Linked DNA regions of Ovis aries. The protein of the gene in region 5 binds, or shares a complex with, the protein of the main gene of each other region. Links are inferred from orthologs where the notes say so. Each region holds a gene or a part of one and is shown on either strand. Other genes may lie near its edges. The genes, in order: BCAS2, LSM5, PPIH, CD2BP2, SNRNP40, RBM22 and U6 snRNA-associated Sm-like protein LSm3.

Region 1 (3,500 bases), on a different chromosome or scaffold from region 5:
AACAGAAACTGAATTGTTTGTGCTGCAGTTTCTTAACTTCTGGATTTTGCCCACAGATCCTTATGTGCCCACAGAAGTTTGATGATGATTATGAAAACTTGAGAAAAGCTATTTACCATTTTGTGATTTTTGCTTTACTGTTTCAGGACTCATCGTCTAACAAACGGTTTTATGCAGTCATGAGGTTCAATGGCCTTAAACTGTTAATAGAAATGTGTGATTTTAGGGCTCAAAGAAGCCATGAAGATCATCTAACCACTAACTTTTACAAATTGGAAACTGAACCTTAAATACTACAGACAGCAAAACCTAAAGCTAATTATGTGGAAAAGAAATAGGAGTTCAGTAGCACTCTTGTTTCTGATGTTAAGTCTCTACTTACAATCAATTCTCATTATCTGCAGATTCTGTACAAGAGAATTTGCCTATTAACTCAAATTTATTTGTAACCCCCAAATCAATCCATGCAGAGTTCTGTGATCATTCATGGATGTGCTCAAGAGCAGCAAAAAATTCAGAGTTGCTGGACATGCGCATTTCCAGCTAAAGCAGAACAAGGAGATACTCCACCTTCTTGTTTCAGGTCTCATGCAGAGATAACCAGAGCAGAGAGTGTAATTTCCAACTCTGGCAAGCTACTTAACACTTTTGAACTTTGTCTTCTCTTTTATAAAATAAAGGAAATACAGAGCCTGTCAGGGTGAGTTGTTATAAAGTGTGTAAGATTATCGTCTATATGAGATGTGTATATATATACACATGTATGTTATTTCTCCCAAATGCTGAAATGGTTCAGTATTTGCTAATTCAATATTCAAGGCAACTTTAAAAAGCAGAAAGCGCAACTAATGAGAGCTGACTGTATAAGCAACCCCCCACATTAAGGATTATAGTCTACTACCAAGCTGTTTTGTAAATCAGACCTCAGAACTTGCTATTGCAATGTTACACAATAAATGTGTTAGGTTTAGGTCTCCTTAAACAGGTGGGATGGGTTAAAAAAAAAAAAAAGGGTTCTTACTCATTATACACTTTCCAGGCATTGCATCCATGCTGGGACATTAGTTCCAGATTCTCAATTCGAACTGCCTGATGCTCTAACTGCGCCATAGAATTGTTTACACACTCTTGCCATGCAGTGATGTCATTTTTCTGACCAGAGGAAGGGGCTGGAAGTTCGTATCTGAAATTAAACAACAATGAAATAAAACCATATATTCCTCCAAATCTTTCTCTCTACTCCCAACAGAATGCCTCATAGGTCTACCCACACTGTAAAAACAGAAGACTGAAGCCAACCAGAAGACTGAAGATAACACGTAGACCTTGCAATAATAAGAAGCGCATTTATGCTAAGAATCGATTTACAAATAAGGTTTAGCATTATGATATACAGTAACAAAAAACTGTTCACTTCATTGTGAAATGATACAATAAGCTACAGTCTACATTCACAAAAAGGACTGTTATATTGGCTATTAAATGTTACTCAAGAATACTTGGAATATTAAAATGTTTGTAATACATTAAGGGAAAAAAATCAGGATATGAAAAACTATGCTATCATTTTGTAAAACACACCTACATCTATGCACCCTCCTACCCACATATCTACACCCCTCTAGAGAAAAAAATGGCAAAGGTATATAATGATTTTTACATTTCACACTCAGTCTTTTCTCTATTTTTAATAATACCCAGTCCTTCAATACTGCCAATGTAGCCAGCAACATATACTCTTCATAAATCCCAGCTCATTACTGAGTTGTTACAAATTAACTTTCAATTTCCATTTTGTTATTTTTATTAGATACTGTAAAAACTTCATATCATTCCTATGAAAAATTGAGGGATATGCAGCTGGGACTAAGAAGTAATAAACCACTTTGTTTCTTTTTTTTTTTTAAAGCAAACTTTACACATACATCGTAACTGTATCATTTTAAGAACTTCAGATCATAACCCACAATAAGAAATATTTTACACTGTGACACAGTATACAAATACACAGAACTGAACAGAAGTTTCACAAAACAGTACTTAACTTTACATGCAATGCATTCGGATTTGTTTTTTAATCTTCCTTAAAAAAAAGTGCTGTGATGTCTTACTAAACTTCACAATCAACTGCTTAATGGATTATAACCTACTTATGGGTTTAAAATATGCTGTTATGAAAGAGCTACTACTGTGAAAACCTTTAGAGCAGAAGCAGCTAGAAATGTGAGAACTAAGGAGCCTTGGAAGTTTTTCTGCTTTTATCATGTCAGGCCAGATAGGAAATGGAGCATAAGAAAAGAAGAAATCCGGTCCTTTGGTTCTATAGGCTCAAATCCCTCTTATAATCTGTACATATGCTGAGAGGATAACTCCACTGTTCACGTGGCCCTCTCCGCTCTGCCAGATTATATATTGGTTCTCATCACTTCAGAGTTATCTGAGAGCTGAAGGGGACCTCAGATGGTAAGCAACCCAATTCCCCATTTTAGAGAAAGTAACAATTGTCACCCTGCTTATTTAACTTATATGCAGAGTACATCTTGAGAAATGCTGGACTGGAAGAAATACAAGCTGGAATCAAGACTGCCGGGAGAAATATTAATAACCTCAGATATGCAGATGACATCACCCTTATGGCAGAAAGTGAAGGGGAACCAAAAAGCCTCTTGATGAAAGTGAAAGAGGAGAGTGAAAAAGTTGGCTTAAAGCTCAACATTCAGAAAACTAAGATCATGGCATCTGGTCCCATCATTTCATGGCAAATAGATGGGGAAACAGTGAAAACAGTTGCTAACTTTATTTTTTGGGGCTCCACAATCACTGCAGATGGTGACTGCAGCCATGAAATTAAAAGACGCTTACTCCTTGGAAGAAAAGTTATGACCAACCTATACAGCTTATTCAAAAGCAGAGACATTACTTTGCCAACAAAGGTCCGTCCAGTCAAAGCTATGGTTTTTCCAGTAGTCATGTATGGATGTGAGAGTTGGACTTTAAAGAAAGCTGAGTGCCAAAGAATTGATGCTTTTGAATTGTGCTGTTGGAGAAGACTCTTGAGAGTCCCTTGGACTGCAAGGAGATCCAACTAGTCCATCCTAAAGGAAATCAGTCCTGAATATTCATGGGAAGCACTGATGTTGAAGCTGAAACTCCAATATTTTGGCCACCTTATGTGAAGAACTGACTCTTGGAAACGACCTTGATGCTGGGAAAGATTGAAGGTGGGAGGAGATGGGGATGAAAGAGGATGAGATGGGTGGATGGCATCACCAACTCAAAATGGACATGAGTTTGAGTAAACTCCAGGAGCTGGTGATGGACAGGGAGGCCTGGTGTGCTGCAGTCAATGGGTTGCAAAGAGTCGGACACGACTGAGAGACTGAATTGAACTGAACTGACAAAAGTTTTACTAATAAATTAAAATTAAAGAATGATCTGAGCCCAGCTGAACCAAGAATAGGACTTACCGTTTCATACTGAGCAATTCAATTGGTTGTCGA
Region 2 (4,172 bases), on a different chromosome or scaffold from region 5:
AGGAGGAAAAAGTTTAAAACTTAGTACCACATGATCTAAAAACCCCTACTGAGAGCTCACTGACTGGTCATTGATCAGCCTTTGCCTCTCCCTCATATTCCCATTTTCCCCATGTCACCTCTGTTTACAATTCCAACAGTATCAATTAATACTTAGTGATTTAATGTTTCAACAGTTAATTCTTGGTAAAATAAATGATTAAAAAGCACAAGCAGGGACTTCACTGGTGGTGCAATGATTAAGACTCCATGCTCCCAATGCAGCGGGCCCAGGTTTGATCCTTGGTCAAGGAACTGGATCCCACATGTTGCAACTAAGTAAAGATCTTCTGTGATGCAACTAAGACCCAATGCAGCCAAATAAAAAAATAAATAAATATTTTAAAAATACATAAGATAAAAGGTATAAACAAACTAATCTTAGGCCTAATGTCATCTTCAACAGTTTGGCCACAGAATCCTGATCAGCAGAGCATTCCCTTCCCACCCTAAGCACCACTGGGCCAAGAACATTGAGTCAATCAAGTCAGTTCTGTAATCCCTGCCCCACAAAGATGGCTTAACATCTAAATAAAAGACCTTCACTGTCTTACCATTGTTATATTATTTCCATTTAGCAAAATTTGATCTAATTTAGTAATTCTTCTTCCTTCTGGTGTGATTTCACTAAACAAAAAGATTTTCAAAAAGTCAGGATAAAGAGTGATAATCAAAGCCAACATTCTGATCCACCAAAAGGTTAGTTACTATATATAAATGAACTGTACACTTTCCAGAGACAAGGTTATCCCCATGGTGATGTCAATTCTCCAAAGGCAAGAGAGTGGACTGACTGGCCTAAGACCCACATCCACTAGTGCAGATCTTCATCTAAAAAACTGAAACTTACCAAGGAGATCAAATATGAAATAAAATGTTTATATATATATATATACACATAAGTTTTAGAGTAACTAATTTAAAACATTAAATGTTTTTATTATAAGTTCCTTTATTTGATCTGAGCGCTAAGATCCCTGGCTGCTTTTAGTATCTTTTACCTTAAACCTTTGTCTCCACTAACTTCCTAGCAATTAGTGACAATTAAATTATGGTAATAATCCTCCAATCCAATTTTACTAACATCAGTAGGTAAACTTTCTCTCTTTAGAGTAATTCAAACAGGCAGTGTGCTCTCCTACATCCTTTTACTGACTCAACAGCACTAAAACTGCCTTAAATCAAACAGAGATTCCCCCTACCCATTCTTTAATTTTTAACACTACTCACAATTCAGTGACATCTTCCAATACCATATCTGAAATTTGGTGTTAAGAAAATAAACATACCAAATTAAATTTACTCTGGCTTATTTCTTTGTTCAGTTTTAATTATAACATTGAATACAATGGCTCAAATGCAAGCTGCGTGCAATTGGTAGGAACTTCATCTTTCAGTACCACAATCCCTTAAAACACTATCACAATTTCCAAAAAAATAAATTAAACTTTATTATAATAATCGGTAAGTACTGATAGTCTATAGTTCTTTTTTAAAAATCTGAAGAAAAATCCATACAACCACCTTTTAAAAGGATACTGACAAAGTCATCAAATCCCAGAAGTGTGCCAACAATCTCTTTATCACTCTTCATCACAATGTGAATTCTTGATCCTATACACTTGTCCACAAGCTCTGCAGATAAGGGCGGGAGAGAGAAGATTAGTTTGCCCATTCATAACATTAACAAATATTTGAATGCCTACTGACACTTGTTACATGCATATGGTGAAAAGATAAGCCAGGAAAAGTATTCACTCCAAAACTTTAGACCTTATGTTACATATCTCTGTTCAGTCATTCTATTAAAAGGACAGTTTTCCCTCCCTGTTATTCATTTAACCCTCCTTTGTAGCAATTTATCATGGTTGTAGTTTAATACTATTTTAGTTATCTGATTAACATATGAACGCCCCTCTTGACTCTAAGCTGAAAGAGAGCTGAGAGGTGGTTTTTACTCATCAGTGTATCCCCAGTGGACAATGCCTGAAATGTACTGGTCATTCAGAAGAATTTGTTCCAGGATGGAAAAAAACCTTTACAATAACTGCCACATCCACTAACCCGATAACCCTTCAAATATAAAATATTAAGGGGAAAAAAAAGGCAGAACTGTCTTCACCAGAGATTCCTCCTTGTCATTAAGTCTATGTCTGCCCTGTATCCTGTTTCCTACACTGGTTTGTATGCTATCTGAAGGTAATGGCCGTGATTTAAATTTGTTGAACAGTGCCCAATCACAGTGTCTAGTGCACAGATGGCGCGGTAACTGCTTGCTGAATAAATGAGTAACAAGAGCTAGTTTTCAGAGGCCTCTTTAAAGGCTCATTCCAGACCCAAGTGCCTCACTCAGAAACCAGCCAGACAGGATATAACCCGGGTAGTTTAAAAGCCCGGTTGCGGAATGGGCCTCTTACTATTATAAAGGCGAGCACCCAACAAAGAAGGTCAACGACACATTCACCAAGACTGAACCTTTCCGGTGAAGGTTTGGGGAGTCAAAAACCCCTGCCTCAAGAAGACTCCCCCACGCCAGAGAGACTTGTGCGGCCTCAGGCCGCCGAGACTTGGAGCCTAAAGGAGAGCTGCAGAGAAAGCTACGTTTTTCTAACACTCGGTCAGGGACTGCCTTGCTCTTCGGCCCCAACCCTAACTTTCAACTCCCCGCCCCGGCTCCCCAACAGGACAAAGATTACCTAGAGGAAGCAGCTGCGACGGGTTAGTGGTAGCGTTAGCCGCCATGGCTACGCCGGAAGTGGCCTGCCTCTATCGACGTCGGAACGGCGAGTTTGAAAGAGCGCGCTTCCGCTTTTTTCCGGCCCAGGCAGGCTCGACCAATCTGAGGCCGAGAGTGCGATTGAGGAGATCCAGCCACTTCTTTATCCTGCAGGGAGATTCTAGAAAGTGTTTCTGTTCACTGAGCGTTCTAGGTTCTCCACAGATAACTCGCCTCTCCAAACTTCCAAGAGACTTTAGAGATCTCCGGTCTTATAAATAAGTTATTTCTCTAATCCGGAAGCCTGCGAAACGGAAGCCTTTGTGCTGTCTTATTTCCCCTTATCGAGGTGTGTCTCATATCAACCCAGGATCTTTCTTCGACCAGAATCAATAAATTTGATTTTCCCGCCACCGATTCATTGTGTTGCAATTTTCGTTAAAAAAAAAAATCTACCGCTTCTTTTAAAAGTTTGATGATTTGAAAACCCACAACTAGCATTTTTAATAAAGTTTGTTGGGCGAGGGGGAAATTTTAAGTATGTTTTCTATTTTCTACTATCGTTTTCTTTTTCTATTTTTCTATTCTACTTTTTCAATTTTTTCCATTTCTATTGTTTTCTATCTTCTACTATCAGGAGTTGGTGATGGACAGGGAAGCCTGGTGTGCTGCAGTCCATGGGGTCGCAAAGAGTCGGACAAAACAGTGACAGAACTGAACTGTCCTTTTTAATCTTGTAATATCTAGGAGTCTGCTATACATTTTGTATACACTATTTCTTCCACAGTCCAACAGGCAACCACCAGATGTCATTCTATGTTAATAACATCACATTTAGGAAGCCTTGCTGCTTTTACGCATCTGTTTTGAAAAGAAAAAGCGAACAAATTTTTTGCGTTGGTCTATTTTATGTTTATATCTGAGGAGCTTAAAGCTAAAGAGTTTAAGCAGGAAAGGCCAGGAAGGACATCATTCATTCACACAATGGCTGCAAAGCACCAATCATTCATTCATCGAACAAATACTTTAGTTGAACATTGGCATTTTGCTCAGTATAACCAGCGTAAAGAACAGAACTACAACGTCTTCTGCCCTTATAGGAGCTAAAGGATAAATGGGGGAGAAAGACAACTAGCAAGCATTATGTACAAAGCACGTGGAATTTAATATGTAAAGCAAAAAGTGCTCTTTTAACTTCAGGGATCTTAGTCAATCGTCACATCATTCTTTGGCAAGACAAAGTAATGCCAAAAAAATTTGTTTTCCTATATCTATTCTTGTTTCATTTTCACCATACCATAATGTGAATAGGAACCAAATTCAAGGTATTGTTGCTACCTGATAGAGTTTAAAATTCAAGAAAATAAGCTTTAAGTCAATATCTTGCTTTCCATTACAGAAACCAAATTAACATTCAG
Region 3 (4,138 bases), on a different chromosome or scaffold from region 5:
CTTTAGAAGGTCTCAAATTCTGCTTCTACGTCTTGCTCATTCTATTTTTTCTGCCCTAAGGGTGGCTCTGAGTAATTTCTTCTCCCTGACAGCCTTCTGGCTGACTAACTGCTAACTCTAGAGCAATTAGCAAGTGATCACATGTGCCTAGCAATGACCCATAAGAAGTTAGTCCTATCCCTGCTAAGACAATATAGCAGTATAGAAGCCTTTGGAAGAAAGAACACAGAGAATAGCATCTTAGCCCTTCTTACTTGCCAATAAAAAAGGATATGGTCACCCCAAGCCCTACTCTAATCAGTCGTGGCCAGGGGTTGCAAACTTAAATGCCTATAGGAGTATGTGACGTAAAGAAGGGAAGCCAGTGGTGGGAACTGTGGTGAAATAATAAGGACATACCTGTCTAAAGGGAGCTGTTACTTGACTCAACCAAATGTTGCTACATGAGAAACACAGGCCAAGTGCACCCCTACTTTTCAGTTGTAACAGAGAAAACAAAACTCCAGAACTTTCCGGAAAATTTCCCAGTTTTACAACATCATACAGATGATACAAAGCATATCTGTTTCGGATTCAGCCCCAAATCTGCCACTTTGTAAACTTATCTGGGTAGGAAAGATAGAAATCTTAAAAAAACTCCTAACAGTCAAACTAAATATACATGTAAAGGATAAAGAATGTCTCCCAGATCCAAGAAAACAGCAACATGACTAACCAAATGATATTAATAAGAAAGATCATGCACAGAAATGGGTGGGTATGGACAAACGTAGGTTTAAGAAAGCATAAATGTGGTTTATTCAGAACCCTGCAAGGTTGGGAAGCTTGAAATGGGGATGCATACAGTGGCAAGAAAAATCATGCTTAGCAATGAAGGATTAATTCAATGGGTTCTCCTAGTGAATAGGGAAAATATCCTTCCAGAACTCTCTGATTTCTTGCCCACTAATGAACTTGATTAAAAAAATAACAACTCACCTTCCGAGGCACTGGGATACCAGAAGTGAATGGGAAATCAGGGCATAAGCATTTAACTCACTGGAAAGGGACTTGCCCCCATTTAGAGAAAGTTAACTGTAACTGATTTCTAGCTAAATTCCATGTGCCCAGTTAATTTGGGTCTGTCATGGATCACCTATAGGTATGCTGGGAAAGTCAGTTCCCAGCCCTAAAAGACTGAGATTTGGAGTGAGTGACTCAATCAAAGTGCTAATATGTTATCTAGTGATGCAGCGAGTAGCAGCCATCACAGGATATTCCCATTCCCACCTCCTCCCCCAGCAAACTTGGCTACTGTTCTCAGTTCCCCGAGGAGCAGCTTCAATAACAACAACCAACAAAAACAAAACTTATAGGCCCTTAATAGGAAAGGAACAGTACTTACATTAACAAAATCTCCACCCTGAATCATGAAATCTTTTATGACCCTGAAACAGAGAACAAAGGATGCTGGGAGAAGATTGTGTGGTTTGGAATAACATTAATTTCAAAATATAATGTTTATCACTTCAGTCCTCAAATCAATGGTTGAGTTCACAAAAGCATCCCTTCTCAAGAACTAAGAATTATGCTATGGTTTTGTTTTCCTCTGAAGAGACTAATCCCCCAAGGAAGTAATTCTAAACCATACTAATAGTAATTTTAAAAGTCCCCCAGGATGGCTTGCCAAAGGCCTTACCTGTGGAAGGTGCTCCCCTTGTATCCTATCGGAACCCCATCTTTTCTATAAGCAAAAAGAAAGAGACTTGAAATGGTAAACAGGTAAACATAGGCCTTTCACGTTTACCATACAGTCGAGCCAGAGACACCCTTCTAAAGATGGTCGGGAGAAGAGAGACGAAGAAGGCAAATGAACTGAGGACAGACCCATAGTAATACCTTCTATTACTGTCACCAGTCATACAAGGCCTGCCGGTGATTCCCCAATACCCTCAACTGCAGCCTCAGGACAGCCCTCAGGAGCAAGCAGAGAAGTCAACCACGTCAGAGACTGACCTGAATTCTCCTGTGCAGAACTGCCTGAAAAGGAAAAGAGTGAACGATTCAGTCGCCATGGCATCACAACTCTGAGCGTCCCTAACCTCAGCGGGAAGGGGAACGTCGGCGCTAGCTAGCCCACCAACTGGCTGGTCAGACGTCCAGGCATACAGATTAACATAAACTGAAAAGGGGACGGTCAAGACTATTCAGAGAGATACCCAGAGAAGTCAGATCTCAAGGACGGTGAATGAACGGATAGAGGTAGGCAGAAGATTCCACAGACAGGCCCAGCTTCTCGTTTGGTTTATCCAGCAAAGAACATCATCTTACCTAAAATTCTCCGCCGTCTTAGGCACAACGTCTGCAAAGAGCTCAATCTTCATACGACCAACCTCCTGCAACCGGCGAGAGACGTTCAGAAAGCCCAGTCCAAGCCCGTGAAGGCCTCACCGAACAGGGAACCCTCGGGCCCCCATGCCGCTTGGTCTCTCCCACCTCCGCCTCCGTAGCCTACTCTTCCGTTCCACCCGGTCCCTCCACCAGCCGGGCGCTAGGATGCGCAAGACTCCTCCTCTTCCTACTCCCTCACCCCCGCCCCGCAGGTCGGTAGGTTCTGGTTCAATTTCACTTTTTGGCTTCCCGAGTTTGCTACACCTGAGGAGGTGATCTGCCTGCCAGACCGCGTGCACGTTCCCTTTGGCATCGGGCTGGCTGGCTGCCAAGACCTCACCTGGCCGCCAATGCTGACATCAAAGAATACCACGGGATTGACAGGGCTTGAATTTGCCACCGCCATGCCTCTGACCCGGAAGCAGAAGTCGGGAGCGCGGGGTTCCGGCGATCCTATGATCTTGCTCCGCCGGGAGGTGTTTATTTCCGGCGCAGGCGCAGGAAGAGCCGGGGGGGGGGGCGGTGCGGTGGGAGGCGGTCGGCCCCGCCCCCGGAAGCTCTCTGCCTTCGATGCCAAGCTGCGCGCTGCGTGGGTGGCCGGGGCTTCCTTCCGTTTTGACGAGTCGCAAGTTGTTACCTCACCTGAGTCTCCTTGAGCGCTGAGGCCGGAGGACATCCTCGGCTTTTTTTTCGCTCGAGGCCCACGGGCCTCTCATTCACTTGGATACAGTAAGTGCAGTACGGATGATTCTCGCTCAGGCTACGGGGCTTGGACTAGGCAGTCTTCAGGGTCTGATCAGCCTTTGCAGCCAAGACCGTCTGAACCATCATATGTGCGGCCTCTTACCCCTTTTCACTAGTCTGGAGGCCCGGAAGCAAAAACCGTGTTTATCCTCAGCGCTTTGAACAGCCTGGCATATAAGGCTTGTTCAGTATATTCAGCACTTTCATGAAGTCAGGCACTAGACTTTAATTCCAGTTCTCCCACAAGCTTCCGCTTTCATCATCTCCAAGTCACTTACTGCAGAGCAGCTAGAGCTTTTAAATGAATCTGCTTATAAATCACTCCCGGATTCCCTTATTTAGAATAAAATCCAGTTGCTACATAAAAGACCTACATTACATTATCTGGCCACCTACCTGGGACTCTAGCCTGTTCCTCTAGGTCACGGAGACTCGGATTCTATTTAGGGCCTGTTAACTGACTTTAATATTCTTCTAAATCTTCATGAGGGTGCGGAGTGGTCTTGTAGGTCAAGTCTCATCTCAGGTCATTAGTCAGGAACATTGCACCCAATCTAAAGTAGCCCTCTGTCACTCTTTTGGATAGATTACTGATTTTCTTCATGCCATTCACCATCCAAAATTATATGGTTTCCCCACCTCACCAGCTGCTTCACACTTGTTTAACTCCATGAAAATGAAGCTGGGTCCTTCGTAAAAACCGGGTGCCTTTGCAAAGCTTAGGAATAACCTATCTATAACGTTCCCTTTCTTGTCCACCTGTTTCCCTCAAGGTTGTTGAGTACCAAAGAAAAAGGCATTGAGACAGCCGGCCCTTGGCAGGACACTGCTGTGTATAAAACCCTTGCTTATGTACCTGATTCCTTGTTTGTAGAAAGACTTGACCCTCCTGGATCTTGTTCCAAAGAGCAGATCCAAATAGTTCCTAATGAGGGAATGCAAAAACAAAGGAAAAGCAGTCACAGAATGATAGTTCAGGGACTTCCCTGGTGGGTCAGTGGTTAAGACTATGCTTCCAGCACAC
Region 4 (4,274 bases), on a different chromosome or scaffold from region 5:
TGCTTTGCCTCCCAGGAACCTAAAACCCATGGTGGCTCATTTTCTTCTCAAGGCCTCCATTTCCTCATCTGTCGGGTCAACAATACACAGGGATGGGGGCTGTGAGTACCCCCTGCACGGGCCAGGCTGAGACCCCCCAGGCTGATCACCCATGGCCTCTTCTCTTCGGGCCTGCAGGCGTCAAGATCATCTTCCGGGTGGCCCTGGTGCTGCTGCGGCACACGCTGGGCTCGGTGGAAAAGCTGCGCTCCTGCCAAGGCATGTATGAGACCATGGAGCAGCTGCGGAACTTGCCTCAGCAGTGCATGCAGGAGGACTTCCTGGTGCACGAGGTAGGTCCTGGCCTTAGCGTACCTCACACCCGCTTCAGTAGATCCCCACCCCACTTCACCCTGGTACCCATGTCTTCTCCATCTAGGTGACCAACCTCCAAGTGACAGAAGCACTGATTGAGCGAGAGAACGCAGCCCAGCTCAAGAAGTGGCTGGAAACCCGGGGCGAGCTGCAGTATCGGCCCTCACGGAGACTACACGGTTCCCGGGCCATCCACGAGGAGCGCCGGCGGCAGCTGCCCCCCCTGGGCCCCTCCTCCAGCCTCCTCAGCCTCCCTGGCCTCAAGAGCCGGGGCTCCCGGGCAGGTGGAGGGGTCCCCTCCCCACCCCCTCCCGTCCGCAGGGCCAGCGCGGGGCCTGCCCCAGGGCCCGTGGTCACCGCCGAGGGACTGCGTCCATCCCTTCCTTCGCCTACTGGCAACAGCGCCCCTCTGGCCCCTAGCGGCAAGGAGGCCCGGAGGCAGGAGAAGGAGCGGCAGAAACAGGAAAAGGAACGCGAGAAGGAGCGGCAGAAACAGGAAAAAGAACGGGAGAAGCAGGAGAAGGAGCGGCAGAAGCAGGAGAAGGAGCAGCAGAAACAGGAGAAGGAGCGGCAGAAGCAGGAGAAGAAGGCCCAGGGCAGGAAGCTCTCACTCCATCGAAAGGCAGATGGACCGCCTGCCCCCCAGGACGGCGGGGACAGGTCCTCAGCATCAGAGGCCCGGCAGGATGCGTACTTCTGACCTCTGCCCTGGGGCTGGACTACGTGGCCCCCTCTTTTCCCTCAGCCAAGAGCAGACCTAGCCTGGGGTCCTGCTCCCAGCCCGCCCTTGGCAGGCTGTCCCTCTTTTTGAGGAAAGTGGCTTGTTCCCCGTCTCCGTGCCAGCCGCTGATCCCCACGTGGCCAGGACAGTCAGAACGGGGGGCAGCTGCATTTCCCTGGGGAAGCAGTGGACACCTCACCTCCAGCTCGGCCCAACTGGGGTCCCTTCCCAGGTGCCACTCTCCTGATTGGCCTTTGGTCACCGCAGGGGTGACCTGTGGCAGTGGGAGTCAGCAGTTTTCAGATTCTTACACTCCAGTCACTCCCCTTACCCGTGAAGTGAAGCTGGGTTCCTTTACCCCCTTCAGTCCTGCCTGTCTTCCCCCAGTTCCTGGTTGGGGGCCCAGGCTCTTCTTGCTCTCCTTCTGGACATCTCTGTGTTGTAATTATGTACAGAGGACCTGGTGGGCCCCGGGTGGGGGTGTTCACTCCATCTTCTGTTCTCTGGTTCTCCCTCCTCAGTGTTCTTGCACTCTAGTTTATTTAAGGGGACACGCACTGGAACAGGAAATGTCTCCCACCTCCCACCACCACCCTCCTTGCTCTCCTTCCTCTTCACCCACCTTTCTCTGTATTCTCAGGCCTCCCCTGCTTTATCTGACCAGGGCCCCTGCCTTTCACTTTGTCCCTTCCAACCCTCCAGCCCCTTCCTGGGTAAGGGTCTTCCCCTGAGCCCCAGGGGGTGGAACCCAATGTTTACATGTTCTTCTGTCTCTGCCCCCACCCTGTTCGGCCGCTTTGAGGAACCGGAAAAGAACCTGCTGTTGTACCTGGGCCTGTCTTTTGCCTTGTTATTTGATGAGTGGGGTTAAAGTAAGGACAAGGAGGGAGGGAGTGATGAGTTAGCAAGGATCTGGGTGTCTCTGGAAGCTGTTGACTGGACTTGGCAGATACCTTTGGGTCTTTAGTCTATTAGTCACTCATCAACACAGTTGTTGCGTTCCTGCTTCACCTCCACCTGCTGGGGATCTGCTGCCTCCGTTGTCACTGGCCTCCTGGAACTGTCTGTGGACAGCCTGCAGCATCCGGATCTCCTTTCCAAAGTGCTCGTGCAACTCCTGGAAGCTGAAGAGGGTCCTGGGGGTGGCTGGGGAGCCACAGTCCTCTGGGGGTGAGCCGGGCTCTTGGCCAGCTGCCTGGCACAGCTCCCGGTACTGGGCCTCCAGGGGGCGTAGCAGCTCAGCCAGCCGCGTCCAGGTGGCTCCGGCCAACGCCCACAGCCAGGCTCTCAGCTCCTCCCGGTTTTCTGCTGCCAGCCTGTAGGCCCGCCCACCATCTCCCCCTGGAGTCCGAATGGTAAAGGCATAAGGTTCTGTGGCTCCAAGGCGTGGCTCCACCTGGCAGTTCTCTAATAGGATGAGACCCAGGGGTGTGTGGTCAGCCTGGTGTTCCAGGTAGAAGAGGAGGTTTCCTCGCAGGATGAACCAGCGGCGCTGATAACTGGTATTTCGGGCCCCCTTCTTTAGCAGGATGCCCTCCCGGTCTGGAGCCTGTGTTCTGTACCCACGGAAGAAACGGAGCACGGACTTTCGGTGCAGTTTCATGGTAGCCCACTGTGGGAAGAAACCCTAGGAGTGGAGAAAGGAGGAGTGGGGCATTTGGTGATCCGGAGTACCCCAGCACTGCCCTCCTCTGGTTCCAGCAGGCTCTTTCTGGGCACTGTCTTGGTCTTGGTCTAGAGGGATTCAAACTTGAGTTTTCAAGAAGGACCTTCCACCCACCTCCCAACCTCAGCTCTGCCCCTTGGGCCAAATTACAAAACCTGGGCAGGACTGTAGTGCTGGGGTCCTGTTTGGGGGTGGGGTTGGCGGATATCCACTACGGCCCTTTCCCAGGCCTACCTGAGATGAGGGCACAAGGGACTTCAGGCCTCGGTACTGGGAACAGGTGCCACTGCCACCTCTCCTATTTGACTCTTCCCACCTCAGAAACCAGGAACTTGGCCAGGGGATAGGAGGCGGCTGATTTTAGACTTCCCCTGGGTCCTAAAAGGAGCTGGGTTCGGAAAGTCCCAGGAGAACCTCTGGGACAACAGCAAGGCTACACCTCGGACTAGCAAAGGGCGGACAACTGGACGCCAAGAGTAGGAAGGCAGGATTTCTAATGAGATGATGAAGGGCGCAGAACCAGCCGTGGGGAAAAGGAGACAACCCGGGAAAGAGAAAACTAGGGCAGGAACCCACCGGCCCTGCTGGGACTTTGTTCCTCCATCGTGAACCTGGGCGCCCCTTTCTCCTCAGAGCCTCTAGTGTTGTAGGAGGAAACCGAGATCACTTCCGGCCATCCTCGTCCGATCAGGGTCTAGGCGTTCAAATGTCCCCTCTTCTCACCATAGTCACCCCACACGGCTCGCGTCACTTCTGGGAGGGGGCGTCTCTCCCCGCGCGGCGCGTACTTCCGCCCGCTCCTTCAGTTGTTCATCTAACCCGAGTGAAGCCACTTCCGGCTTTCCCCGCCGCCTTCCGCAGTTCTCTTCCGGGTGGTGGCGGGCGGGTGGCCCGGATGTAGCCCTGGTGAAACCCTCTCTCCCTTTCTTCCCCCACCTTTCCTGGATCCTTAGGTGAGCGCGTGCCGGCGGGACTGCTGGTGTCCCCGTGGCCCTGCCGCCTTTCTAATTTGTACACAGCCCAAGACAGTTGGGAGTCACCCCGCGGAGTTGGGAGTTCGGCGCAGGGAGGAGCGGGGCTGCCAGGGCGCTAGGTCCTGGGTCTGCCGGGGCCCCTCGGGTTCCGAGGAAGCTGGGGGTGGTGGAGCGGGTGTTTACCCGCGAAGCACATCGCGCCCAGCACTGCTGGGGCCTGGAATAAGGGTGGTCACGTGGGGGAGCCCGTCTCCTCTTGTCAAGGGTGGGGGTGCCCGTAGGAGCTCCTCCGCCCGTCCGCTCTTGCGTCTCCGCACCAGCGGCTCTTTTAGATGCTAAGCCAAGTCCCGGGAGGGGCGGGGGGAGGGGCGGGTTCTGGACTACCAGCTCGCCTTTCGGCTCCTGATTCTGTACTCCCTTCCCAAAGTGGATCTAGTACCCGCCAAGTAAAAGATCTGTTGTGCAGGGGGCCCCCTCGCGGGGAGTTGCCTCCTCACCCAGTTCCCTTAATCTGCACCCTTTCCCTCTGCTCAGTTTGGAAAAGCCCTTCTGTCCAGTC
Region 5 (4,068 bases):
TTTGTGCCTTTTACTCATTTTCCTCGCATTTGCCACAGGACTTCTGCACATGCTGTTCTAGATGGAACATTCTGCCTTCCTTGCTTCACCCAACTAATTATAATTCTTCCCTGAGGCTATCAGTTCAGGCATATTTTCCTTACAGAAGCCGTCCTGTTTATTCAGGCACTCATTAACACCAGGTACCTCTCCTAGGTAGCACACACTTCCATACTTCCCATTTCCTAGTGAGATCTGGTGAGCATCTATTTCCCCCCAACCCCAGACTTAAAGCTCTGAAGTCAGGGACCATGTTTGGTTCACAATGTCTGCCCAGTGCTCTGTATTATAAATATTAGTTGGACGACTGAGAAGAAGGCCTAGTTCACAGGTCTGAGTTCGAATTTCTCAACAAAACTGTACTCCGGAGGCCAAGAGTCGGACATTACCTTCATCTCTATCTTTCTGAGGAGGCGCTAGTAAAGGCTGCGGAATCATGGCAGTGACAAGTCCGCCTCTTCAGTCAGAGAGGACCCTGATGGAGGCTAGGAGATGGGCCTTTTCTCCCTGGGATCGCCTGGGCTAGGGCTCTGCACGGAAAACACTGTTGAAGAAGTCAGCCATCGAGGGCCCCAGGCTGAGCAGAGGCTCCCAAAACTCTGCTCCAGGCTAGAAAGGGAACCCAGGCTAGGTGCTAAGTCGCTTCAGTCGTGTCCGACTCTGCGACGCCATGGACTGTAGCCAGCCAGACTCCTCTGTCCGTGGGATTCTCCAGGCAAAAACACTGGAGTGGGTTGCCATGCACTTCCCCAGAGGATCTTCCCCACCCAGGGATCGAACCCGCGTTTCTTAGGCTTGGAACCCAGGCTACTACACACCAGAGCTAGGAACTCGGGGCCCCCTTTGCCCCTTGCAATCAAACCTGCATCTGAGAAGAGCCAGCCTCAGACCACTCCAGATCCCACAGCCACCCGCCCCTCGACCTTCCTTACACTTACTTGTTGTCTGCTTCTGGTCTTTCCCTCGCAGCATTGCGCGAAACACCAAAACCCAGTCAGTGAGCTTCCACCCACAAGACACAGCGCGCCTAGGCGGGACTCCAGCTCTATCCACCAATCCTGAATTCGTACTCTAGTGATGTCAGAAAGAACTGGCCAATAACAGGAAAGTTCTCAGGGGGCGGTGCTGAGAGGTATATTGGAAGTCGATTGGGTTCTATCGGCCGGAAGTTCTACGGGAAAGACTAAGTCCGAGCCAATCGTGAGGTACCTGAGGGGGTCGGCGCGGTCAGTGGCGGCCTGAGGATAGCGGCTGCCGCCATGATAGAACAGCAGAAGCGTAAGGGCCCAGAGTTGCCACTGGTCCCAGTGAAGCGGCAGCGACATGAATTACTGTTGGGAGCGGCAGGGTCGGGCCCTGGAGCCGGGCAGCAGCAGGCGGCGCCGGGAGCTTTGCTGCAAGCGGTGAGTATAAGGAGCAGGCGGCCTTCGGCCCTCAGCTCATCTTCCTCTCTCCTCAGCACCTGGTGATCCTGCGCGGCCCTTAACCCACACTCCCGGCCGGAGCGGGACTCTCTCTCCTAGGAGTTAAAGCAGAAAAACACGGTAAAAGCGGCGTACACCCGGCGATTCTCCCTGCGTTTCTCCATTTGACGCGCGTTTTCAGCGTCTTGACCGCCCTGTGAGGAGGTGTTAGAATTAAGAATTGAGGATCTTGAGCTAAAAACCGAGACCAGGGTTTTGACTTCTTAAATGTTCCAGGGATCCAGTATAGAATAAACGATAAATTTCAGAAAACTTGGAAGATTGGATGGATGAATGAATGAATGAATGAGGGAAGGGGGGAAATGAATGCCGCTGGCTCGTTTTGGGGACTTGGGAAACTTGCTTTTCCCGTTGTTTCTCTGCACTGGTATTAGTAATAACCAAAGAATAGTTACCATCCGTTGAGCCCTTGTGCTGTGTAAATGAAAACTGCATTAATCTCGGTAACTTCCCAAGAGTTAGGAAATATTATTATCCTAATTTGTAGACGGGAAAACAAAGTTATATAGTAAGTGATAGGACTTCCCTCATAGCTCAGCTGGTAAAGAGTCTCCCTGCAATGCAGGAGACCTGGGTTTGATTCCTGGGTCAGAAGATCCGTGGAGAAGGAAATGGCAACCCACTCCAGTATTCTTGCCTGGAGAAACCCATGGACAGAGGAGGCTGGTAGGCTATAGTCAGTGAGGTCGCAAGAGTCAGACATGACTTAGTGACTAAACCACCAGGAACAGCTTTTAAACTCAGAATCCATGCTCTTAACTACATTTCCTGTAAAACTGAGGTAGTGATCACACCTCTGCTTCTATCCTGTTAGGCTCAGCTGACAAAATATATGTCTTCCCGCCCCCCACAACTCCTCAACCAGCTGGTTAGCAAATGTTGACACCACCCTCAAACTATATCCAGACTCACTACCGCTTCTTCCACCTTCCAGCTTCTTTGGTGGCTCAGACAGTAAAGAGTCTGTCTGCAATGGGGGAGACCCAGGTTCAGTCCCTGGGTTGGGAAGATACCCTCGAGAAGGAAATGGCAACCCACTCCTTTTTTCTTGCCTGGGAAATCTCATGGACAGTGGAGCCTGGCGGGCTACAGTTGATGGGGGTCACAAAGAGTTGGACATGACTGAGTGAGTGACTAACACTTTCTACCACTTCCATCACTAGCTCCTGGTTTAAGCCATTAGGGCTTCCCTGTTGGCTCAGAGGTTAAAGCATCTGCCTGCCATGTGGGAGACTTGGGTTTGATCCCTGGGTCGGGAAGATCCCCTAGAGAAGGAAATGGTAACCCACTCCAGTATTCTTGCCTGGAGAATCCCATGGACAGAGAAGCCTGGTAGGCTATAGTCCAGGGGGTCGCAGAGTCGGACACGACTGAGTGACTTCACTTTTCCTTTTTTTTTTTGCGATTTCACTTTCACTTCACTTGTCTCATCTGGCACTATGGCTGTAGGATCCTACTGGAATTCCTGTTTCTGTTTATGGATGCTCAGTCTATTCCCAAACCAGTAGCCAGAGGAATCCTTCTAAACATAAGATCATATTACCCCCCGCTGAAAACTTGCCATGGTTTTTCACGTCAGTCAGAGTAAAACTGAAATCTTGGCAATCTTTTGCCCTCTTTCACTTGATCTCTCTGATCTACCAATTTTCCATTGCTCACCTTTCTCCAGTCACAGTGGCTTCCACGCTCCTGCTACAAAGTCTTTGCATTTGCTGTGCTCTCTACTGAAATACTCTTCTTCCAAGTGTCCACATGGTTTATACACTCAGCTCTTCCCAATCTCTGCTCAGATAACACTTTTCCACTTTCCTGACCAGCCCATTTTAAATTGCCATACCTTGTGCTCATCTACATTGCTGCTCTGTTTTTCTCCATAACACATGCCACCGTCTATATGTTTTACTTGTTTCTGCTCACCCTCCCTCTTTTCTGTCCTTCCCACTAGAACACAAGCTTCATTTTTTATTTTGTTCAGTACTGTTTCCTAAGTGCCTGGGACGGTACCTGACGCAGTATTTCCTGAGTAAATGAGTAAGCTGGAAACTAAGGAGATTTGCAGATTGTTAATAGTGTGCTTCTGTCTGGCAAGAATATCAGCCTGGGTTTCTTTGAATTGCCGCGACTGCAACTGGTCTTAATGTCCAAGACCATTATCAAAACTACTTTCTTCAATAACCTGTACCCTGCAGGGTTGTTGGAAGCATTCGTTCAATCATTCATTCATTAAACGAACTAGAGACTGGGAAACAGTGTCATGTTACACTGGTAAGGTTCCTGCACTACAGAGCCTTTCTCGTGGCAGAGCAGGGGAGACAAACTAAACAAATACATAAGAAACGTAATTTCAGATAGTGATAAGTTCTTTGAGGGAAAAAAGTAGTGTTGATCAAATGCAAAAGAGAGGTAGGGTGCTGCTTGGGCTTGAGTGTTCCAGGAACAACTTTCTGGAGAGAAAGCACTGGAAAGGAACCACACACAGAAAGATCTCGGGGAAGAGGCCTCCAGTCGGGGACAACAAAAGATCCTGAGGCAGAAGTAAGTTTAA
Region 6 (3,966 bases), on a different chromosome or scaffold from region 5:
ATTTCAAAGTGGGTCAGAACCAGAGACAGGAAGACTGCTCTGCTGTTTAGAGCACTGGCACACTTTCAGAACTATGGGACAAGTCAAACATACCATATTCGAGGTCTAAGAGGCAGGTCTGACAGACATTCTTCAGTTTACTGCAGGTCTGGCACACTTCAGTCTTCTTGAAACGCATGCGGACCCCAGGGCACCAGCGAAACACTGTGAATGGCCTGGCACAGATCTGGAACACAAGATAAAGCCACAGAGTGTTAACAGTCCAGATCTGGACAATTAATCCAGGAGATTTAGTAACAGCAGGGGATTCAAAGAAAGGATCCCCAAATCTAGGGTTTAGAGGAGATCTTAGCAATCATCTAGGCTAAACAGGATCTGACGTTTCAATCCTTCACAACAGTCTTCTTCAGTAGTTTAAATACTCAAAAATCAAAGTCCTCCCACTCTAGAGGTCACCAGCATTAACAATGTAATTCTTAATCTTTTATGAGGTGAGTAGGGAGTGTCCTATGCTTCTTTAAAAATCTTCTATCTATGACCTTCCCCCTCAGCTTAAAAATGGTCATAGGCATAATCACAGAACATTTGGTATATGCAATCCCAGGGGGTTCAAAGACCAACCACAGACATCAAGTTCAGAATCCTTGCATTAAGTGGCTCATTTTCTTACTCCTACCCTAAGTAGTTAACAGCCAAAGAGTACATAAATGATACATGAATGCACAGTGTCACACTCACTTTTATAAAGAACTTCAAACCTCAGGGAGTTGAAGAAAAAAGGAAAATAAAACTAAATCATTACTCTTTAACACACTTACTTTGCATTCCTTCCCATACTTTTCTTTGGTCTGAAATAGAAAAAATAGAGGAGTTACAGACACAGGGGAAAAAAGCTGATGCCTGCTCCTTCTCTACATCAGTTGAGTTCAGTTCAGTTCAGTTGCTCAGTCGTGTCCAACTCTTTGCGACCCCATGAATCGCAGCACTCCAGGCCTCCCTGTCCATCACCAATTCCCCGAGTTCACTCAAACTCACGTCCATCGAGTCGGTGATGCCATCCAGCCATCTCATCCTCTGTCGTCCTCTTTTCCTCCTGCCCCCAATCCCTCCCAGCATCAGAGTCTTTTCCACATAGGATACAAGAAAAGTATCTGGAAATCCCTGGCATCTTAAGGGGTAGGATAGGGAAATGGGACCCTACCCTTTTTGGGGAGGGCAAGGAAGGGGCTGGGATATAATCTAATCACATACAAACTATGACCTCTTAAGAATTTTATGGATCTAACATGGAGTAAGTATGTACCTTTCCACAACCACAATTCTTAAGATTCACCTCTGGCTCCCAAGTTTTCTCCCAAGAACAATTTCCTAATGGTTTCCACAGTGCCTAAAGCACAGAGGATGCAGCCAGGGCCGGTCCATTTTCCAAAGTTTAGTCAGAGGTAACTACTACAGCCTCATCCTGTGATGGTCCTCTTATATAATAAATCAATATCTCTGAGATTGATCACAACACAGCCCCAATTATTAAATATAAACTGCTGCTAATTTTACTCTTATTTATAAGGAGAGAAAGTACCTTACACTAAACACATTATAAGGTGTGGAGGCCAAAAGGTACTTGAGTTCAGTCCTGGTTCTCCTTCTAATTTGTTGAGGTCCCTGGAGTCAGAATATCTGAACTTAAATGCCAGCTCCACACCTTACTTGCTGTATTGAAAAGAAATAAACTTTCTTTGCCTCTGGTTAACAGACCTGCTGCTGCTGCCGCCAAGTCGCATCAGTCGTGTCCGACTCTGTGTGACCCCATAGACGGCAGCCCACCAGGCTCCCCTGTCCCTGGAAGTCTCCAGGCAAGAATACTGGAGTGGGTTGCCATTTCCTTCTCCAATGCATGAAAGTGAAAAGTGAAAGTGAAGTCGCTCAGTCGTGTCCGACTCTTAGCGACCCCATGGACTGCAGCCCACCAGGCTCCTCCATCCATGGGATTCCGCCAGGCAAGGGTACTGGAGTGGGGTGCCATTGCCTTCTCCGATTAACTATTATTATGACTCCTAGATCACAGACTGTCGCCGAGTTCCAAAGTGAGAGAACATGACAGTCCTTTGCAAATTCTTCCTACACTTCGGGTTAGTAAAGAAGCATCATTACTTCTTCGTGGCTAAGAGAAATACATGACCGACAGTGTGCGAGTACCAAAACATTGACAGAATACATACAGTAGGTCCCGTTTTACACTCAATCACTCACCATTCGGATATATGGGTTTTCTCCAAGACACGTCTGGCACAGAATAGGGAAGTCCTGGTGAAAATGGGAAAGCTGGTTGAACGCCAAGCTCCAAAGGCCTTGCCGTCTCAGCCACTGTCGTGCGGCGCGGGGGAGGGGGCGAGGAGCGAGGCTGGGGAACAGGGGGAACCCGTGGTCCAGCACGGGCCGGGTCGCGGGAGCGGGCGCTGTATGCACTTCCGGGAGGCGGCGGGAGTAAAGACCCGCTCGAAAAGAGTGGAGGGAGTAGACACAGAAAGGGAGCTGGTCCCAGACCCTGGCTAAACCCCCTCCATCCAAGCCCGCAGGAGGGCCGCCCTCCAGCCTTCAGCCGTAGCTGAGTTAGGCCGCGGTGCTGGCTTCTTCTTGGAATTCCCTCGGCCGCACCGCAGCCACGTCCCTGCCCGCCCGCTGGAGGCCTGACTTCGCTGCCTCTTTCTGTTCTCCTCCGGCAGGCTCACTCACCGCATCCTCCCAATTTTGCCTGTTGTAGGTGTTGGAACCTAGAGAGGTCGCCATCTTGAGAGCGTCTGGAGGCAGCCGCAGCTTCCGAGTTGGGAGAGGACCGCCACAATCCCGTCAGGCCCCGCGGCTGCCTCTCGGCACGTCGACGTCTTATTTACGCGTCTTGCGCGCCCTTGAGGGCGGCACCTTGTGTAATGGCATCGCTCGCTTGGAATTTCTTGACAAGTGGCCTCTAGTTACTTCCTTCCAGTGGTGACAGCCAGGAATGAAGAGTCACAAGTTCAACTGGTTTATTTAAAAATTGAGTGAAAGAATAAAGGAACTAGAATGAACGAGGGCCTGGAATTAAAACAGCGTCGACCCCAGTGAGCGCTTATTATGCCAAAAAGTGGGGGGAACGTCTTGCGGTGACTATCTCATTTAATTCCCACAGTAAGCCCGCTATAGGGTTGCCAGATGTAGCAAAAACAGAACGTCTAGTAAAATTTGAATTTCAGATAAACAACGAGTTATTTTAGTATAAATTTGTTCCAAACATGCTTACGCTAAGTAATGACTCGTTTTTCTGAAAGTGAAATTTAGGAGGATGTCCTGCACTTTCCTGGCAACCACTGCCCTCTAGGCAAGTGTGACTGTACCTCGTTTATAGAAGGAAACCGAGGTTTAGAGAGATGAACTTGCTTCTGGTCGTGTAGCTAAAAAACGGTGAAGCCAGAAATCCAAAGACAACAGTACTTTTTTCCAACTTCTTAAATGAAAAGCCTTATGGATCAACATGTGTATTGTTAAATCATTTTTGGAACAACTATTATTTTGGGTTTGACTTCTCTTGCAGATGGTGATTGCAGCCATGAAATTAAAAGACGCTTACTTCTTGGAAGGAAATTTATGACCAACCTAGACAGCATGTTAAAAAGCAGAGACATTACTTTGTCAACAAAGGTCTGTCTAGTCAAGGCTATGGTTTTTCCAGTAGTCATGTATGGATGTAGAGTTGGACAATAAAGCAAGCTGAGCGCAGAATTGATGCTTTTAAACTGTAGTGTTGGAGAAGACTCTTGAGAGTTCCCTGGACTGCAAGGAGATCCAACCAGTCCATCCTAAAGGAGATCAGTCCTGGGTGTTCACTGGAAGGACTGATGTTGAAGCTGAAACTCCTATACTTTGGCGACCTGATGCAAAGAGCTGACTCATTTGAAAAGACCCTGATGCTGGGAAAGACTGAGGGCAGTA
Region 7 (2,408 bases), on a different chromosome or scaffold from region 5:
AACTATCCTGGGAGGTAGGTGGTGTTATCTACATTTTATAAACAAGAAAATCAAGGCTCATAAAATTAACTTCCACGAAGTCTCACATGTAGGAAGTGGTAGAGTCGAGATTCCATCTCCATTCCCATTCTTTTCAGAACACACACCTGCCTCTTCAAGAAGAGAGCTGTGGGACTTCTTGGGTGGTCCAGTGGCTAAGACACATGGCTCCCAATGCAGGGGGTTGGGGTTCAATCCCCATTCAGGGAATTAGATCCTACATGTCACAACTAAAAGAACCCACATGTCGCAACAAAATTGAAGATCCTGTGTGCCATAGCTAAGACCCAGGGCAAACAAACAAATAAATAAATATTAAGGAAAGAAGAGAGCTATATAGCTGATTCACTTTGTTGTACAGCAGAAACTAACACAACATTGTAAAGCAACTGTACTTCTCCCCACCAAAAAAAAAAAAAAAAAGAATTCAAAAGAAAGGAAGAGCTGAAAACATATGAATATTTTTTTAAGTTTTGTTTTTATTTTTTATTTTTTTTTATTTTTTTTATTTTTTATTTTTTTATTTATTTTTTTTTTTCTGTATCGCGCCGATCACATTTATTGGAAGGGTTGGAGAAAAATAAAAATGCCGTTTAGCTGAAGTATTTGTGAGTTATCTACAAATCAACTTATTTCAGGAGTGGAAGAATTCTTGCTTATTTTCAGCATCAAGATGCACATCGGTCTCTCTTTGGAACATCTTCCACACTCAAAGAGGCCACCGCACAGCACAGCCCGTCTCCCACAGGCGGCGGATTCTCGTTTCAGCCAACTCTCAATGGCGGGGCAACCAGCACAACGCCGTCTCCCCGCACAAAGAGCATCGGAATATTCCGTTTTGTTGATTTATATATTTCTTCATATGTTTCTTCATCAATTTCTATAGTTGTCACAGTTTCTTCCACATCTCCCAATATCATATTTAAATGTTGATCATAAGCGTGTAACCGGCCTCGAAGTTCTCTGTCGTTTCTCATCTTCACGTAGATGCGCTCGTCCAGGCTGAGCCGGATGAGATCCAAGGGCTCTTCCACAGTGTTGGTGGTTTGTTGCTGGTCCACGTCGTCCGCCATCTTTCAAACCCTCTTAAGTTTTGTTTTTAATGTGGACCGTTTTTAAAGTCTTTATTTGTTAAAATATTGCTTCTGTTTTATGTTTTTTTGGCTACAAGGCATGTGGGATCTTAGCTCCCTGACCAGGGATCTAACCCATATTCCCTGCAATGGAAGGTGAAGTCTTTCTTAACCACTGGACCACCAGGGAAGTCCCCACAAAACGCATTTTAATTGAGTGAAGAAAATAAAACATTTCATGTTTACAAAGACAAAAGACATAGCAAAGAACTTGTGGAAAAGCTGAAACCAAGAAAAATGAGATTTTTGGAAGTTGGAAGACAGACCTTGACCAAATGAGATCATCTTTAGGAAAGAAGTAAAGCCTGGATCCCAAATTCTCTACTGCGTTACCCAGTATTTTCTCACGTGATGATGTAGCAACCACTTGGTAATCATGGAGGAAAAGAATGACATCTGGAGCCAGGCCGACAAACCAGAGCCAGCCACGTAAGATGGTGCCGAATGAAAATACTAGCTTCCCCAAGACACTCAGAGATCTTTCCCCAGCTTTTGGATGGCAGAAGGCAACGACAGGGCTTGCAGCCAGTGCCCCAGCATCTTCCTCCTCACCCCTTTTGACTTTATTATTCCTGATAACCTGGTCATGCATATACAGCTACCAAACATTAAGTTTTCTTGAAGTCTCACAGCTTTGGGTTTTCTTACCAAGTCATGTGACTCAGATCTAGGCCTAGGAAGTAAACACTGTTTCCTGAATCTCAAATACCCACTCTACTTATGTTATTCTACACCTCCAAGAAGCTCTTGTCAAAACAAGATTAAACACGGCAAGATTTTATTAGGAGAAATGACTGTATGAAAGTAATTAACCTCCAATTAAAATAAATAAATTTATATTTAAAAAAAAAGAAAATAGAGAAGGAGCTGTGAGTGAAGCCTGACTGGTAAGGAGGGAAAGAAGAGAAAAGGATGTATGGAAGCAGTTGAGACTACCAGGCAGTCTAAGGAAACTTCTGCAAGACCTTGAGCCAAAGTTGTCCAACAAAGGAGTCCACATGTCTGCCTTAGTATCCCTGCTGTACTAAGTCATGGGTGCTTCCCTGGTGGCTCAGATGGTAAAGAACCTGCCCACCAATGCAGGAAACCCGGGTTCAGTCCCTGGGTGGGGAAGATCCCCTGGAGAAAGGAATGGCTATCCACTTCAGTATTCTTGCCTGGAGAATCCCATAGACAGAGGAGCCTGGCGGGCTACATGCAGCTGCAAAGAGTTGGACACGACTGAGCTACTGAGCA

What was found.
Region 1: SNRNP40 (region 5) and BCAS2 share a complex: the UniProt entries of both Homo sapiens proteins name them as parts of the postcatalytic spliceosome P complex. The link is inferred for Ovis aries from reciprocal best matches to the Homo sapiens genes SNRNP40 and BCAS2.
Region 2: SNRNP40 (region 5) and LSM5 share a complex: the UniProt entries of both Homo sapiens proteins name them as parts of the U4/U6-U5 tri-snRNP complex. The link is inferred for Ovis aries from reciprocal best matches to the Homo sapiens genes SNRNP40 and LSM5.
Region 3: SNRNP40 (region 5) and PPIH share a complex: the UniProt entries of both Homo sapiens proteins name them as parts of the U4/U6-U5 tri-snRNP complex. The link is inferred for Ovis aries from reciprocal best matches to the Homo sapiens genes SNRNP40 and PPIH.
Region 4: SNRNP40 (region 5) and CD2BP2 share a complex: the UniProt entries of both Homo sapiens proteins name them as parts of the U5 snRNP complex. The link is inferred for Ovis aries from reciprocal best matches to the Homo sapiens genes SNRNP40 and CD2BP2.
Region 6: SNRNP40 (region 5) and RBM22 share a complex: the UniProt entries of both Homo sapiens proteins name them as parts of the postcatalytic spliceosome P complex. The link is inferred for Ovis aries from reciprocal best matches to the Homo sapiens genes SNRNP40 and RBM22.
Region 7: SNRNP40 (region 5) and U6 snRNA-associated Sm-like protein LSm3 share a complex: the UniProt entries of both Homo sapiens proteins name them as parts of the U4/U6-U5 tri-snRNP complex. The link is inferred for Ovis aries from reciprocal best matches to the Homo sapiens genes SNRNP40 and LSM3.

Annotation. Positions count from the first base shown.
Region 1 is NC_056054.1:91,954,769-91,958,268, forward strand, and holds part of BCAS2 (pre-mRNA-splicing factor SPF27), read right to left. Parts: coding exon 3,468-3,500; intron 1,184-3,467; coding exon 1,022-1,183; intron 1-1,021. UniProt on the Homo sapiens protein: Required for pre-mRNA splicing as component of the activated spliceosome. Component of the PRP19-CDC5L complex that forms an integral part of the spliceosome and is required for activating pre-mRNA splicing.
Region 2 is NC_056057.1:65,579,037-65,583,208, reverse strand, and holds the start of LSM5 (U6 snRNA-associated Sm-like protein LSm5), read right to left. Parts: upstream 2,801-4,172; 5' UTR 2,781-2,800; coding exon 2,735-2,780; intron 1,674-2,734; coding exon 1,578-1,673; intron 1,297-1,577; coding exon 1,269-1,296; intron 666-1,268; coding exon 593-665; intron 1-592. UniProt on the Homo sapiens protein: Plays a role in pre-mRNA splicing as component of the U4/U6-U5 tri-snRNP complex that is involved in spliceosome assembly, and as component of the precatalytic spliceosome (spliceosome B complex).
Region 3 is NC_056054.1:17,161,326-17,165,463, reverse strand, and holds the start of PPIH (peptidyl-prolyl cis-trans isomerase H), read right to left. Parts: upstream 2,801-4,138; 5' UTR 2,777-2,800; coding exon 2,711-2,776; exon of another isoform or gene 2,376-2,710; coding exon 2,311-2,375; intron 2,020-2,310; coding exon 1,996-2,019; exon of another isoform or gene 1,902-1,995; coding exon of another isoform or gene 1,879-1,901; intron 1,724-1,878; coding exon 1,679-1,723; intron 1,428-1,678; coding exon 1,385-1,427; intron 1-1,384. UniProt on the Homo sapiens protein: PPIase that catalyzes the cis-trans isomerization of proline imidic peptide bonds in oligopeptides and may therefore assist protein folding. Participates in pre-mRNA splicing.
Region 4 is NC_056077.1:27,062,918-27,067,191, reverse strand, and holds the start of CD2BP2 (CD2 antigen cytoplasmic tail-binding protein 2), read left to right. Parts: upstream 1-1,474; 5' UTR 1,475-2,057; coding exon of another isoform or gene 2,058-2,678; exon of another isoform or gene 2,679-2,702; intron 2,703-2,975; exon of another isoform or gene 2,976-3,060; intron 3,061-3,625; exon of another isoform or gene 3,626-3,694; intron 3,695-4,249; 5' UTR 4,250-4,274. Other genes in the region: TBC1D10B (TBC1 domain family member 10B), read left to right, coding at 178-332, 419-1,054; sesquipedalian-1-like, read right to left, coding at 2,058-2,678. UniProt on the Homo sapiens protein: Involved in pre-mRNA splicing as component of the U5 snRNP complex that is involved in spliceosome assembly.
Region 5 is NC_056055.1:236,094,139-236,098,206, forward strand, and holds the start of SNRNP40 (U5 small nuclear ribonucleoprotein 40 kDa protein), read left to right. Parts: upstream 1-1,268; 5' UTR 1,269-1,298; coding exon 1,299-1,442; intron 1,443-4,068. UniProt on the Homo sapiens protein: Required for pre-mRNA splicing as component of the activated spliceosome. Component of the U5 small nuclear ribonucleoprotein (snRNP) complex and the U4/U6-U5 tri-snRNP complex, building blocks of the spliceosome.
Region 6 is NC_056058.1:59,831,541-59,835,506, forward strand, and holds the start of RBM22 (pre-mRNA-splicing factor RBM22), read right to left. Parts: upstream 2,801-3,966; 5' UTR 2,788-2,800; coding exon 2,734-2,787; intron 2,305-2,733; coding exon 2,251-2,304; intron 849-2,250; coding exon 819-848; intron 227-818; coding exon 94-226; intron 1-93. UniProt on the Homo sapiens protein: Required for pre-mRNA splicing as component of the activated spliceosome. Involved in the first step of pre-mRNA splicing.
Region 7 is NC_056080.1:116,710,674-116,713,081, reverse strand, and holds U6 snRNA-associated Sm-like protein LSm3, read right to left. Parts: upstream 1,126-2,408; 5' UTR 1,113-1,125; coding exon 804-1,112; 3' UTR 501-803; downstream 1-500. UniProt on the Homo sapiens protein: Plays a role in pre-mRNA splicing as component of the U4/U6-U5 tri-snRNP complex that is involved in spliceosome assembly, and as component of the precatalytic spliceosome (spliceosome B complex).